Linked DNA regions of Drosophila melanogaster. The protein of the gene in region 1 purifies or fractionates together with the protein of each later gene. This does not show direct contact. Each region holds a gene or a part of one and is shown on either strand. Other genes may lie near its edges.

The links.
Region 2: the proteins of brp (region 1) and par-1 purify together in Drosophila melanogaster (affinity purification with western blotting, with the first as the bait; one study listed by BioGRID). This does not show direct contact.

Annotation. Positions count from the first base shown.
Region 1 is NT_033778.4:9,502,023-9,509,787, forward strand, and holds the start of brp (bruchpilot), read left to right. Parts: upstream 1-1,742; 5' UTR 1,743-1,823; intron 1,824-2,981; 5' UTR 2,982-3,446; intron 3,447-5,840; 5' UTR 5,841-6,095; coding exon 6,096-6,231; intron 6,232-6,904; exon of another isoform or gene 6,905-7,148; intron 7,149-7,765. Other genes in the region: Wnt2 (Wnt oncogene analog 2), read left to right, coding at 1-234, 300-487, 705-1,017.
Region 2 is NT_033778.4:19,463,689-19,471,675, forward strand, and holds the start of par-1 (par-1), read left to right. Parts: upstream 1-3,777; 5' UTR 3,778-3,953; exon of another isoform or gene 3,954-4,125; intron 4,126-5,101; 5' UTR 5,102-5,282; coding exon 5,283-6,650; intron 6,651-6,908; coding exon 6,909-7,124; intron 7,125-7,183; coding exon 7,184-7,404; intron 7,405-7,520; coding exon 7,521-7,802; intron 7,803-7,863; coding exon 7,864-7,987.

The DNA.
Region 1 (7,765 bases):
TACGCGGTGACCGCCGCCTGTGCCCGCGGCAACATCTCCACCTGCGGCTGTGATGTGCGGCACAAAGCCACGCCCACTGGCGGCGGTACGCCCGACGAGCCCTGGAAGTGGGGCGGCTGCTCGGCGGACGTGGACTTTGGGATGCGGTATGCGCGCAGATTCATGGATGCCCGCGAATTGGAGCGCGACTCCCGCACGCTGATGAACCTGCACAATAACCGAGCAGGGAGAACGGTGCGCATGCATAAAATTTAATAATAAATATGGCCTAGTTAATAGTTATGTTTTTCTCTTATCAGCTGGTCAAGAAGATGCTGCGCACGGACTGCAAGTGCCATGGCGTCAGTGGCTCCTGCGTGATGAAGACCTGCTGGAAGAGCCTGCCGCCCTTTCGACTGGTTGGCGATAGACTCATGCTGAAGTATCAAAAAGCCAAAACTGTTCAAGCCGTCAAAGGCAAACGTGGACTGAGATTAGTATTAAGCAGGTGAGAAATGGGAATCTTGCAAGATGTTGCATGATATGTAGGCAATAATCTAATGGCTAAATAAGTATTCTTCTAAAAAGAATAAAACACATAGTAGTCATTAAGTCCTTTTTAAATGCAATATGTTTGCTGTGCCTTCTGTAGCACGGTATAATATCAACACATTTTCGATCCCACATATTAACACATACCTCTTTCCACTTTTAATTTCTTGCAGAAAGAAGCATGCCGGCACCGCTCGTGCCCAGAAACCGGTCCTCGATTGGCCGAAGCGCATGGAGCTGATCTACCTGGAGGCGTCGCCCAACTACTGCGAGCGAAGTCTGCAGACGGGCAGCCAGGGCACCTCAGGTCGGACCTGCCAGCGGACCGGCCACGGCCCCCAGAGCTGCGATCTGCTCTGCTGTGGGCGTGGCCACAACACGCAGCACATTCGAAGGACCACGCAGTGCCGCTGCCAATTCCGCTGGTGCTGCGAGGTCAAGTGTGACGAGTGCGACGAGAGCTACGAGGAGTTCACCTGTAAATAGACGGGTAGCGGGAGCATATCGCTAGAACTAGGGCTATGTCATAGGAAATGCGTTGATTAAGTATTATGAGAAATGTATTACAACCGCAGATACGCACCGCGCCACCATACAGACACATTCCAGAATAAACGTAACAAGTTAACATCCCCAACGAATACTGTCTTATTATTAAGTTCGTATAATTCAAATAAGTATTTAAGTTTTCTTAGAAAAGAACCTTCTGCAAAAAAGCTAATCTAGGTGAGCTGATACATTCAGTCTGCTGTTTCAGATTTCTTATTCCTTAAAAATAGTTTCCAAAATAATGAAATCCAAATCTTTAAGAATCTATAATCTGTTCTTATAGAAAACTGTTCCTAAAACCAACGAGTTCATAGTCTAATTTTGAGGGCGGTTTGAATAGTTGGCGCGCAGCATTGCCAACGCTGAATGTGGAGCAATACGTAAGACCCACATTCGTTTAGCGTAACGCAATGCGCTGGCTCCATATTTTGGTATTGGAATTCCGGAATCCATTAAGCTGGCAGCTCGAGATGCCAGCACTCACTGAACTGCGCGAGCGCCGAAAGGAAAATTCATTGATTGCAATCGCGCGCTCTCCGGCTAGCTCTCCCTATGCCTAGGCCAGGAGGAAAGCAGAGGGTGGTCGGTAAGGAAAAGTTGGAAAACTCACCACTTGCCAGCGAATCGGCGACTATATTAGCAACTGGCTTGCACGAGCCGTGCTCAGTTCTTTGAGGGTAGTTAGTTGGACAACGGCGTTGCCGAAAACGGGCCACCTCAGCTGCCGCACAATACATTTTTGGGTTAGGAACACACATAGACACGAATACCAATACACTCCCGCATGCACACACACATACACACACGCGCAGTATATGTATCTGGCCGAGAAATGTATAAGGCCAAGAAAAGTCCAACTTAATTGCATTCGCAGCGGAGAAAAGTGAAAGAATAGCGCGAGAAAATTCCATTGACTGGCGAAAAGTGCTTCGATCAAATGCATAAAGTCCCCGTTAGTGTGTGTGTATGTGTGCGAGTGAGTGAGTGTGCGTGAATGGCAGCACTAGCGCTAGAGGCTGCTCCCTGGATACAGAAAAGTGATTTCCTGCAAAAAGTGCGAAAAAAGCGAGTTAAAAGCAAATCGAGCTGGCCAAAAAGCCGCCTATAGCGCTCAAAATCGTGTGACAAACTCAAGGAACCATTTCACACACACCCTTTATACGTATATATATATACAAATGTGCATTTGTGTATAGTATATCAGTGTGAAAGACCAACGTACAAACACACACTGTCAATCAAAAGGAGTCATCTGTCCCACTAAACGCTGCCTATCGATTGGGGCGAAAGCAAAAAAAAATTATTATAAATTGCTTCAACCTACATATAAGCCATGCGAGTTATACACACACACTCGCATTCGCACACCCACAAAACCGCACTCACACACACACACACACACATACGCATACGCCTACAAAGAGACATTAAGTTTGAAAAGCTATAAGCTGTATAACAGAGCCTAGAGCCGAGCGAATGAAGTGACGGAAGGTGGGGTGCCAGCATAATGTTGAGCCACCCAAACCACCCGCTCAGCTCCACCGCCCCTCGCCCCTCGCCACACGCCACTCCCCCCACAATCCCCTTTCGTTACGTCGAACCTTACGTTGTTCGTGAGCGTAACTCGTGCGTAGAACACTCTCCACTCCATTTTGCGGAGCACTCTTCAACTCCCTATCTCTCCGTATCGCTGTGTTTGCTGTGCCTGTGTGTGTGTGTGTGTGTGTGTGTTGGGCTCGAATGTGTGTCAGCGGGAACGAGTGTAAAAAATATCCTCGTTGGGCACGAAGCCACCAAACCACTTGGAAAAATAAATGAAACACAAAAAAACCCACTCAGTGAATGAAGACTTTAATTAGTTTAGCTGGAAACTCACGCGGTTTAATTATCCTCCCACACAGCCATGTACATAAAACAAAAGCCGTTTAAATCATAAACACAAAATGCAATTAGCCAGCGAGCGCACGCCACGAAAGTCAACAAACTAACTAAGCCAGTGTCATCAACTAAATTAGTGCAAGCAGCTAGCCGACCGGAACCGGAAATGCCCATTGAGCCGCCTGACAACAACCACAAACACAATCACAATCGCAGTCACCAGCACCATTGCATTGGCAACGGCCATAAAGACGAGCAACAAATCGCCCACACACACATGTAGTTGCAGCGCGAGTGCGTCAGTGTGTGCGGGCTCTGAAAACCGGAAGCGGAAGTCGAGGAGCAGCAGCAGGAGCAGGAGCAGGAGCAAGAGGATTAAACGAACGAGGAGGTGCAGTAGCAGGAGCAGCAGCTAGCTTAGCCAGTTTTTCATTCGCCCGCAGTTCGTTAAGGAAAATCATTCAAAATTCATCGCCTAAGCAAAGCGGGTGAGCTATTTAACCGTATTACGTATACGTAACGACACCCACACTGACACTGAGATACACACACATAAACGCACACACAACCAAAGAAACACGGCAAAAACTTCAATTTGTGATGTGAACCATAAGCGATATTGATTTCTGATTTGTGCGTATGCCTTGTGTAACAGGAGCCGCCATAATTTAATCGTAATCAGTTATAAGTAATCTGTTTTTGTGCCTGCCTTTGTTCTCTCTGTGTAACTTCTTTATCTCCTGTACGTATCTGTTGTGATTTCTTTCTTGTGATTTTACCGATGAATATGTCCAGCTGAATATAAAATACGATCCCCGATTATCTAGACCTAGTTGCAGTCCTAGAACGTAGTCGAGTAACTTAGTTTAGCGAGTAATTTTAGTCTGTTCTCCATGCATTACCCATACGCCCCGTTCAATCAATCAATCATCCGGAGATTGGCAAGCAATTTGAAAACTTATAATTAGATATGTGGATGGTGCCTTGTGGGGCAGGCTCGACGCATTCGATTTGCTCGCATGATTTGTCAGTTTTTTGTTCAGCTTTTTTGGGGGCCGGCCCAATCACCTCCTTTGCGTGTCAATGATGCGGTGTTTGCCTTTATTATTTACTTCTTTCGGCTGTTATTTGAGTTGCTTGCTCTAATTTTAGATCAGCCGAATAACTTTTATTGATTTCAAATTTCAACCTTATTTTACATGTGGTCTGAGTCAGTGTCTGTGTGTGTCTGTTGTGAGAGTCAGTGTGTGTGCGGGCGAAGAAAACGCCGCCAATCCATATATTGGGGCAGTGGTAACAACAAAATACGGCAAATATTTTACGATGACGCTATTGTTGTGAGCGGGAGCGAATGGAGAAAGCAGCCAGAGGAACGGAGAAAGGCGAGAGGAGAAAGGGAAGTGCGCTGGTGAGATGGCACGCATTTGCGCACTAGCCTCCCAGTGTGGTGAGTTCTCTCTCCGGCTTTCTCCGGGGACGCCTCTCGTTTTTTCGGAAGCTATTCAACATGTTTGTTTTGGGGTGGAGGCCCCCGGAGCAGATAGCCTGATAAGATGGCCTCCGGACGGACAACAATCGTAGTGGCTTCCAGTTTCAGCTTCAGCTCCAGGTCCCCCAAGTATGCAGCTAGAAGTGCAATCCGTCTCCCGCTCTCCGCATCTACATACATCTGGCAGTATGGCAGTATATATCTGGATATGTTTGCCCAGCAAAGTGCACTGCCTGGGGCTCCCTAATGGCATGGCGATGTAATCGAATCTGGGCCTGATATTTTATGGCCTGTCTGCCATATCCTGACCTCATCTGCTGCGCTTCCTCCATCTTTTTATGTCCCCATTCTCCCTGCCGCACACATAGAGCATCCACATCCACAGAATCAAGCTGAGGCTTCCTTTCCACGGCTTTTGGCTGTGTGAATGGGCTTCCGGCCTGCTGATTCATTTAGCATTCATTTGAGCCGCTGCAGCTGTCGCACCGCTGCCGTTGATATCTGCACTCTTGGCCCATTCACATCATTCACAGCAGCCGAAGGTTCAACATTTCGTCTTATCACCAGGTCGCATTGTTTATGCGGGCGCCTTAATTACAACCTGCTATTCATGACATTCAAATACAAAGTCTACAAAGTAAACACGATGATTTGAGGTCATCAGAATCAAAATACTAAAGCCAATTATTAGCCACGAAAATATTGAATTTATTCATTTTGTTCTTATTTAAAATTAATACCCAATAATATTTTTGAAACGATTTAAGTTATTTAAGCTATAGTAAAGCAGAGAACATTATGAGTGCGTTACGTTATATACTTATTTATAAGTTTATTTGATTTTAAATTGAGACCAAAAGATGAGGATGTTATATTAAAAATATCTGTCTTATTAAAAAAAGGCCTATGCCAATTTAAGGATGAACCGCATAAACTTCGGCTGACAGCTTCTGTTTGAGACTTCCTTGCAACCGAGTGGCAGACGCTCGAGTGGCAATTTGCATGCGATTTGTTGCCGTCGCCGTAGAGCACGAATTTGCATAGAGCAAATGCTCGGCGGGATGCGCTCTCCTCTCCGCAGCCGTTTCCGTCCTTTGAGTCCTGTTAAGTCTGTTTATCGTATTTGTTTATGCGCTTTTGGCCCGGTAGTGAGTCAGCTCCCGACCGAGATTTAGGTAAAAAGGTTAAGGATATGCAAGTTGAGCTACAGCCAATTTAAATGCAAAGGAGAAAAACGCTGAAGAGCGGCAAAGCCTTGGCTTTTTAGCGTGCAACGGGGCGTATGCGTAATGCAATATATTGTTTATGACGAGAGAGCATCTCGATTGTGCCGTGTGCTATTGTACTATTGTGTGTTTGTTTTTCGTTCTCTTCTCCTATCTTCCACTTGCAGATGCCGCACAAGAAAAAGAGAGAGAGAGAGAGAGAGAGAGAGAAAGTGGCGAATAGATCAATCAATTAATCAATCAAAACCGAGCATATCAACCGAGAGGCCAATACCAACCAGAGAACCGAAATCAAAGTTCAACGTTGCATTTAAGGTTGCATCCGGTAGACCAGTTCAACTCCAACTGCAACCTCCGGTTCCACGTACCACATTCCATTTGCACCCCGTGTGTGATTGCATGCCGCGGATGAGCCGCGGATTATGTCACGTGACGATTATAATCCAGTAACTAGCTCTGGTGTGCGCAGTCCGGGTCGCGTGCGGCGTCTCCAGGAATTGCCGACGGTCGATCGATCCCCATCCCGGGACTACGGAGCGCCACGCGGAAGTCCTTTAGGTGAATGACCACTCCAACCCGAAACTTAACCCAATCTGAAACCAAAACCGAACTGAATCTCTGGACCTAGTCCACGCAATCTGAGCACAAACGTAGTCCAGCACTTGGCCAGTAAATCAAATTTGTTTGTGCGAGAGCCCTGCGAACATTGATTTTTTACCCCATTACGATTACGATCAATTGGCTTTGCTTTTACCGATCTAGAAAGTACTAACCCTTTCTGCAGACCTAACGCAGATGTCATTACAAATTCCAAATTCCAAATTCCAAACTCGATTCGCCAAAATTCATTATGCAAAATTAACGCTTATGTTTGGAGATTTGTATATCGCTCGCTAGCTCTCTACTTGTTACCGCCATATATAACTATTTTCATTTCGTACTATTTGTAGTCAACTCAACTAATGCAATTTCTAACTAAAGTCTATTATTTCTGTCTAACATCACACGCATGCGCATGGTACATAAATTTGATTTCATTTCATTTCACTTGATTCGATTTTCATTTATTTCGTATTCCGTTTCGCTTCACTCATCCTGCGAATCTCAACCGATTTTCATTTCAATTAACCAACACAAACGGCACTCGACACACTCCACAACCGACACACACTTCAAACACATGCAAATTGAATTCCACGCGGGGATTGGATGGGTATTTTCCGTGAAGCAGCTGCCGCTGCCGGGAAATTGCATTAGAACCGGTGAACCGACCGGGACAACAGGACTAGAAAATGGCCCACAGCTGAGCCGTTGGACGCTAGAAAAAGCCACTGCGGAAAGGTGCACCTTGGAAAATATCACCATCAACTATAGTAACACTGCAACCGAAACTGAACTGAATCTGTATCTGAATCTGAAACTTTGCCCGGAGCCGTGCGTTTGATATCAAAGCCTCAAACTGGATTACAATTATGGTTAGCTAAACTGTTTTGCACTTGAACGGGGTCAGCACTTGATTACGCCAGCTAATTAGCATTTGGCCGCCATTGCGGGGGGGCTTGAATAAACCATTTATGAGTCGAATACCGGAACACTGAGTAGTAGTGAGTAGTGAACAGTGGCGGACAAGGACGTTGGCGGAACCGCAAATTTAGTTTCGTGCTCTGACGTGCAAAATGATTTCGTGCCGGGCAAAACTTAGTTTATGACCCTCGACGGTGGGCTGAGATATGAAATATGAACGAGGCGCCAGGACAAACAGGGTAGCGGGTAGCGAACGAGCGGCTTGTGTGGGTGAGAGGGGGTTGGTGAGGAGGAGGGGGGGGGGGGCGGTGAGCAAAGCCAGAACACGACCAACACTCCTTCCTCTCCTTCGTTTGTTGACTTTTCCTTTTGCATTTCCTTTTTAGTTACCTGCATTCCTTGCCACTAACCTAACCTAACCCAACAAAACCAAACCAAACCCAACTGAAAAATTAGAAAAAAGCAAAGGAAATGAGGCAGAGACTCCACTGCACTAGTTGCCACCTCTAGAAAAAAATCACTCTGTATACTTTTCTTTGGTTGCGTTCCTTTTGTTCTGGTGGCCGAA
Region 2 (7,987 bases), about 10 Mb from region 1:
AAACCCAGCTGGAACGGTTGTGGAACTTATCGCGAGTGTCTTGTGTCCACAAAAAAAAAACGGAGACACTCACACGGAGAGAGATGTGTAAAGTGCGATAACTGATAAGAGACATGTGTTGTTATCTAAAAGCACCCACCCTTCACTTTTTAAAACCCCCTTACGCGTCATGTAAGCAACAAGTTTACAAATATCCTAGAAGAAAGCAAAGATAACATATTCTTCATGCACAGAGACACAAATATTTAGCAACACTTATTAGTCCCAATTTTAAACTTTTCAGAAAAGAATTTACAATTGTCATATAACCATAAATTTGTGAATGACAAGACTAGATACGTTCATATAAGATTCAAAGATATATGTGGTACTTTCATATTCAACAAGAAAATTTAGTTGTGCTATTCAAAATTCTCCATACCTTCTTTAACTGAATAAGCGGCTTGCTTAATGGACCTATCAGTTCTTATGATTGTTATTGTTTTACTCTGTGCATTGCGAATCCCAATTATTTGTGCTCAGTAAGATTGGCACGGTGAATGTGTTTGCAATTTAGTGACCGAGAGACTGTGACTTTTACTGCGATTGCTTCTCCAATGTTCACTCATTGTGCTCTAATAGAATTTAACAAGATGGTCTTTTCGAAATAAAAGCGACAAAGCTGCGCCTGAATTGTGATTGTTGTGCCACAAAATACACAAAACGAACAAAATTTATTCATACTTTTATGCACACGTATACGCGCGCATCTCTCAATGTTTACACACGAAATTCGCTGTGATAATTGCCAAAGCGAAGAACGAGGGAATATGTGTCTCAGTTTCGTTGCAACTGGGCCAATAATCCGTATACCGTGAACACCGAGTCGCGTCGAGAACGAAGAAATACCACCGCAACCCAACCACGAAACAACCAAGTGAACCACCCACCGCAAAACCACCAAAGCACCTACCATGGGCCAGACTTCCAGTCACCGGCAGATGCACCACAGTAGCAATAACAACAACAAGGAGGAACCACCACAACCGGCTTCACAGTTTGGAAATCGTCGAACCTCTACCCGCAAATCGACTTCGTCTTCGAAACATTACCCCACATTGGTGCAACCATTGCGTAAGGATGAGCTCTCTCTCCTGCGAGATTCACTTCTGCGCAATGGAAGCATTATGCGCAAGAACCCGGAACGTCGTCCGGTAACGATCAGTGAGCTGAAACCAGTTAATACCGGGCAGGGGACTTCGGGTAGTGTCCTGCCTATTACAGCAGAGGATGCTGCTGGTGGGAGCAGTAGTAGCATCACCCAACTAATGGCCTTCCAACTGCCCGTGGATCGAAGTGCCAAGACTGACGACCTGGCTGCCGAATCCTCGGCTTCAGCAGCAGCAGCTGTGGCGCCCAAGGAGGGGCGCAATGAGTTTTATATTGTGGGAGATGGCTATCATCGGACGGATCACTGCTACTATCGCAGTCCCAATGGCGATTTTCACAAACTGCCATCCGACTCCTTTCACAAGATGTCGGAGGGCTGTTTCGTCCGAATGGCCGATGGGGTCTTCCGTCGCCTGGAGGTACCCACCAAGGCTCAAATATCCCGAAGATCCAGCAGGGCAGAGGAAATAGGCGATGCCACAAGCCAGGGAAATGGAAGTGCCGCCACCAATGTTAAGAGCCAACTGATGAGATTTCTAAAGCGCTCCAAGAGCCACACGCCCGCCACTATTGCCAAGTTGCAGCGGGAAAAGGAGGAGGCCCGAGCGGAACGCAAGCAACGGCTATCGAACGCCCTGCGGCAGAAGAATCTAGCGGCCACAAATGCAGCCTCAGCTGCGGCGGCGAACTCATCCTACGCAAGCGGTGGTGGTGGTGGCACCGTAAGCAGTCGGAACAATAAGATTGTGGTGACAATGATCGAAAACGGCGGCTTGCCCATTGTGGCCACCAGTAAGGCGGAAAGGCCCAAGGCCAAGGAGTCGGCATCATCCAGTGACAAGGCTCGCAACTCGAGGGTATGTAATATTGGATATAAATTTATCGATATTATCGATGGTTGCTTACATTTTATCGAAATCCATCGACGGTAACGGTAACCCGTTAGATACTATTGCATAATTAATATAATAGAAGATATAGGAGGATTTATATTGGGAGCTTGCGATATTGGCAATTATGTGATTTAGAAACTTTCCTAGGCTCTTGAGCAAAACTACACTTGACCTTGCTACTTCATTTCAAAAGAGTGGGGCAATAAGGTTATATTTGTTGTGATTAAAGTTTGTCGGTCTCTCACACTTCCCCATTCATTTATGAACATTGCAAATTTATCGTTGTTGTGCTGCCACCTTCATTCAATCTAATCGTAATCGCTGTTTCGTTTTTGTCTGTATCTGTCACGGTTTTTGGTTTTTTTTCCACAATCGAATGAATAACGATTTCTATTATTTTGATTACGGATTTTGTTTAATTTCAGATTTTTGTTACCCCACATTGAATTCCTATAATCCATATGGAAACTAATATATATTTTCAGTCTAATCGCACAAGTGCTACATAAAAACCCAACGCAAATACGTTTAAAGATTAGGGGATTATAGGGATTACGGGCTCTCTGTTTCTATAACTATACGATTGCATTGTCCGGAGGACAAGTTCATAATAGTTGACCTCATTAGATTTTCCTGTTAGCTAGCATGCGAAAAATGAAATTCTATCTTTAATGTTTTTGTTTGGGACCTGAAAGGCTTGACTGAAATCTCGCTGTCTTGTCTTAATGTAGATTAAGCTGCAAGTTATTCAATTAGCTTAATTAATACGGACACTTTATACAGGCTCAGCTACTTGATACCTCGTATGAATAAATTAAAACCAAACTTGGCGAGTTACAAATTGACAGAATGATCGAATTTCATATGAGACACTTTTTGATATCTTAAAATGAGAGTTTCTCTATTTTCCAGATTATTTATTTTTAAGTATACCTAATGTGTTTCGTTTATGTCGTATCACTCGTGTCTCTATATATTTTATTCACAAATTTTATTGTGTCGGCTGACAAATGACTTACAATTATTTGACGACAAGATGTTCATAATAATGTTCTTTCGGGATTGCATTTTTAGTACCAAACTGTGTGTATTCCTCGGTCTTTGTATTCTGGTGATTGATATAGAGTAAAACAGGGGAACGGGGGAAGTTGATTAGTGAAATCTTCGCGACGACCGTAGAATTCCGACTCAGACTTCAGACATCATGTCCTTTTGGTTTTATTACTTAGAACTCTTACGTAATGCATCACCTAATCAACTGATTAACTTTAAAGGAAGCAGTTGAACTTATTGGGTAATTGATTGATTTTAATAGAAAACCAAAGTCCAACCGAATGTTACTTTAATCGCAGTAAATCAGGGAAGAAGCGCTTTGCGTAACTTGGTGGAACTTATATATTGCGCACATGCGCAGAACACTAAACCCTGCAGCAAACACGGCTAACAGTTTCTTTCCCAGCGTTACGCTCAGTGGTACTCGCACACTCATACACTCTCAAAACTTTCGAGCTCCAAACGGGGCTTCTCTTTGTGGGAGAACAAGTACACAGATGCAGATACGGATAGAGATACTGTATTAATGGTAGTAGTGCTCCACCAGTGGAGAGAGCTGCCCACTGATCGTGTGCTTGTGCTGGTGTGTTGGTGTATTAAGGCCGACGCCGCTGCCGCAGTCGACGTCGCTGCTCGAAGCGATTCCGTGCTTTTGGAATACTCCGCGCTCTCGCTCTCCGGCACTCCAGTTCCAGTTGCTGAGTGGCCAAGTGGCTCTTTGGCTGCTGAGCCCTGTTTAGCTTTGTTTTTCGGTGTCTTCTGTGTTTTGCTGTTTTTTGTTGGTGTAAATCGTATAGTTGTAGTCGTAGCCTGTCGACGACGTTTACGTCAGAGTTGCAGAGGAGGAGCTATAATTTAGTACGAATACCCAAACCCCCACGTAAAATGAGTGCGAAAAATTGCGAAAGCCGCGTGCCTCTGCGATAAGATAACCGTGTGTGGTTAAAGAACTCCTCCGGCCAACGAAACGAACCTTTTAATAATCGGGATTTGCGCGAAATGTGATTTTTTATAGTCCACAGACCAAGTGAAAAAAAAAGAAAGAAAATACTCACACACTATCAAACGACCAATGTATATAGCCTAACTGTGTTTTTCAGCAGTGAAAAAGTCGGCTCAATTGTCTAAAAGTAGTTCATTTGCTTCAATGTGTTGGTGCGACCGTGCATGTGTGTGTCTGTGTGTGTGCATTGGAGCTTTTCGCTTTGCTCACTGAAGCAGCGACGAATAAAAATGGAATATAACCAGCCAGCAACTAAACGACTCGTACGGACGAATTGTTCAGATACTTGTAGATCTCCACATCGTAACTATTTAGACAGTAATTAAAAGCAACAAAGGAAAATAGCGAAAAGGCAAATGAATCATAAAACTGAAAAGAGAGCGTGGGAGAGGAGGGTGGGGGTGGGGACAGGAAAAGCGTGACACACACACGAGAGAGAGCGAGGGCATCTCAGCTGAGCTTGTGCAACAGCAGTAGAAATAGGAGAGAGCAATTTAGAGAGAGACCGAAAACAAACACACGCACAAGAGCTCACCTCCACCACAGGTGTGTAGGTGCCACTTCGCTTTTCTCTCTCGCGCACTCTCTTTTGCTATGTATGTAATTGTGTGTTTAGGTATATTGCCCTCCCTTTCACATCCCCACATCGCCTGCCGTGTGTTTATTTCAGTGTCACCGGGGAGACAGATTAGCTCTTGTCCGCCTGTTGTCGTAAATATCACGCACACACGCTTCCCGTCCGCCCATCTGTACATACATATGTACATACGTAGAAATGGAAGTTGCTAGCTGTGTGTTTAATTCATTTTCGAGGTTTTAATGCGCAACAACTGCGACTTGTTGTGTGTTGGTTAGACGACAAAAAACAAACAAAAGTAACGTTGAGAATTTAGAAAGCCCAATGCAAACGAACGCACACACAAGCACTTACTCCTGTCGGTGTGAGCTGCATTGTACTTCCGAAGCCCCAAGACCAATTTAATAATTTTCCCCAAACTCACAGTGTAAGAACAATAAACACGCCAAGCGCAACTTGAAAAAGAAATAAGAAAAAAGAAAAAGTTGCGATCTCTCCGAGCAACAAGTACTTGTGCACCAACACACTCAAGGGAAGAGTGCCACGACAAAAAAATTTAAGAGAAAAAAAACAGAAAAACCGAAATCAGCAGCAAAACGGAGGAGCTATGGAGGCCACCACTACCACAACACCTGACTTGAATCGCGGCGATGCCACCAGGAAGAGTGTCCGGCTGTATGCCGCCCGCAAGGGGGCGGCACCTGCGCCGCCCAAGCTCAGTGTGGCGCCATCTAGTAACCAGAACAGCAACCACAGCAGCAACAACAACAATAGCAGCAGTAACTTGCCGGAAACGGAAAAGGAAATGGAACTGCGTCAAACACATCTTGCCAACAAGGATCTCGATGGAGCCACCGAAGACGACAGCATAGTGGAGCTTCGACGACGTGATGCCCAAGCCACTCCATTGCCCAGGATAGCCGTATCGGCTCTACCCACCCTACAGCCGCATCCCACGCCCAAAGAACGCCAAAAGCCGCCAATGCCACGCCTTCTGTCCACCGAAGACGATGCCGGTGTGTCCTTTGCCCTCGGCTCCATCGAGAAGCACATCCATAACGTGGAGGAGAGCTTTAAGCAACAGCAGCAAAACCAACAATCCCAATCATCGATGGACGTGATGAAACTGGAGATCAAGCGCAAGCAGAGCAAGCGCTACGGTGAAACGGAAAACCTTCTGCGACCGGGCATTAGTGACATGTCCTCCGAGAATGATTTTCAGTATTTGGGCGGCAGGCGGGCAGGAGAACTGGATGACAGCAATGAGCTGATGTTATCGGAATTCCAGCGCGGCAGCGATGGTCGTAACTCGATCGGAGCCTATTCCAAGAACTCGGCTGCTGCCGCAAACGGAGCAAATGCTGTGAAGGCTAAACTGGCACGTACTGCCTCCGATACGAAGAATAATGATACGGTGCTGGCCATGAGGGCCACTTTTAAGCAGAAGCAGCACTTGCAGGACGAGAAACAGCCAGCGGTATGGCGACCAGCTGGCACTGGACCCACTCCGGCGGCCAGGAGCTCCTCCTCCACCACGTCCACCTCCGGCTCGGCCAGTCGTGGCGGTAGCAGCAGCAGCGTGGTGGATGGAGTGGCTCCATCTAAGCTTACGGCCACTACCATTTCAGCGTCTAAGCGGCGTGAGGAGAATTTGCGACAATTTGAAGCTTTGTTGGCCCAAAAATCCTCACATCGTCATGGAGCATCTGGTGCCTCGGGAACAGGAAGTAATGCAGCCAGTTCGAAAAGACGTTCGGACCGGCCGATTGTGGCTCCTATTCCTCCGTACAATTCCAGTCGAGCAGAGCATGTGACCAGCTCGACCAGACACAGCGTTGATCCAAGATCCCATTCGGGACACGAGTCGAGGTCAGGAACAGCCTCAACTCACCCGCCTGTAGGACATCATCCCACTAGCCGCGTACCCAGCGTGGTGGCAAACCGCAGCAATGTGTACAGCAACAATGCTGCGCAGGTAAACGGGATAAAAACCAAAATCCATTTTTATCTACCATATTTCAATATAATTTTCATCATTTGGTTCAGAGAAAGCAATACCACTGTGGTTTAAAATCGCATTTAATATAACTATTAATCGTTAGCAATGCGGTTTTTAAAGGGTCATAAATCAGGATTGTCACAGAAATGTTGGGTTTTATATATAAATTATAACCGACACCTGATGCACACCAAAATACATAACTTTACTTACCCCTGACCATTGTTTTTACAGGGTTCGCCTAACATGCAAATGCGGAGTAGTGCTCCTATGCGATGGCGTGCTACTGAGGAGCATATTGGCAAATACAAACTCATAAAGACGATCGGCAAGGGCAATTTTGCCAAGGTGAAACTAGCGAAACACCTGCCCACTGGCAAGGAGGTCGCCATCAAGATAATTGACAAGACCCAACTCAATCCTGGGTCACTACAGAAACTCTTTAGAGAGGTTTGTACTTAGCTTAAAAGAATACCTTGACTTATTTACTAATCGTACTCTGCCCACAGGTTAGAATAATGAAGATGCTGGATCACCCCAACATAGTTAAATTGTTCCAAGTAATCGAAACGGAGAAGACGCTCTATCTGATCATGGAGTACGCATCTGGCGGAGAAGTCTTCGACTACCTGGTTCTCCACGGACGCATGAAGGAGAAGGAGGCGCGAGTTAAGTTTCGACAAATCGTCTCAGCCGTGCAATATTGTCATCAAAAAAGAATAATTCACAGGTAAGAGTAATCAATGCTAATTAAAATCAGATGATTTATATAAACAGGCTAGGACAAACCAAAGGCCCATTATTATAGTTGGCACCTTATTAACCGGAATTATTTATTTATAACAGGGACTTAAAAGCTGAAAACCTTTTGCTGGACAGCGAACTGAACATCAAAATCGCTGACTTTGGCTTTTCGAACGAGTTCACACCCGGCTCAAAGCTGGACACGTTCTGCGGTAGCCCGCCATATGCGGCACCGGAGCTGTTTCAGGGCAAAAAGTACGACGGACCGGAGGTCGATGTTTGGTCGCTGGGCGTCATCCTGTATACGTTAGTGAGCGGTTCCCTGCCCTTCGACGGCTCCACCTTGAGGGAGTTGCGTGAACGCGTGCTCAGAGGCAAATATAGGTAAGTGTTGCAAGATAAAATGAAAGTAAATGGAACTAAACCAAACCGCTTATCCCCACAGAATTCCCTTCTATATGTCGACTGACTGCGAAAACTTGCTCCGCAAATTCTTAGTACTGAATCCCGCAAAGCGTGCTAGTCTGGAAACAATCATGGGCGACAAGTGGATGAACATGGGGTTTGAG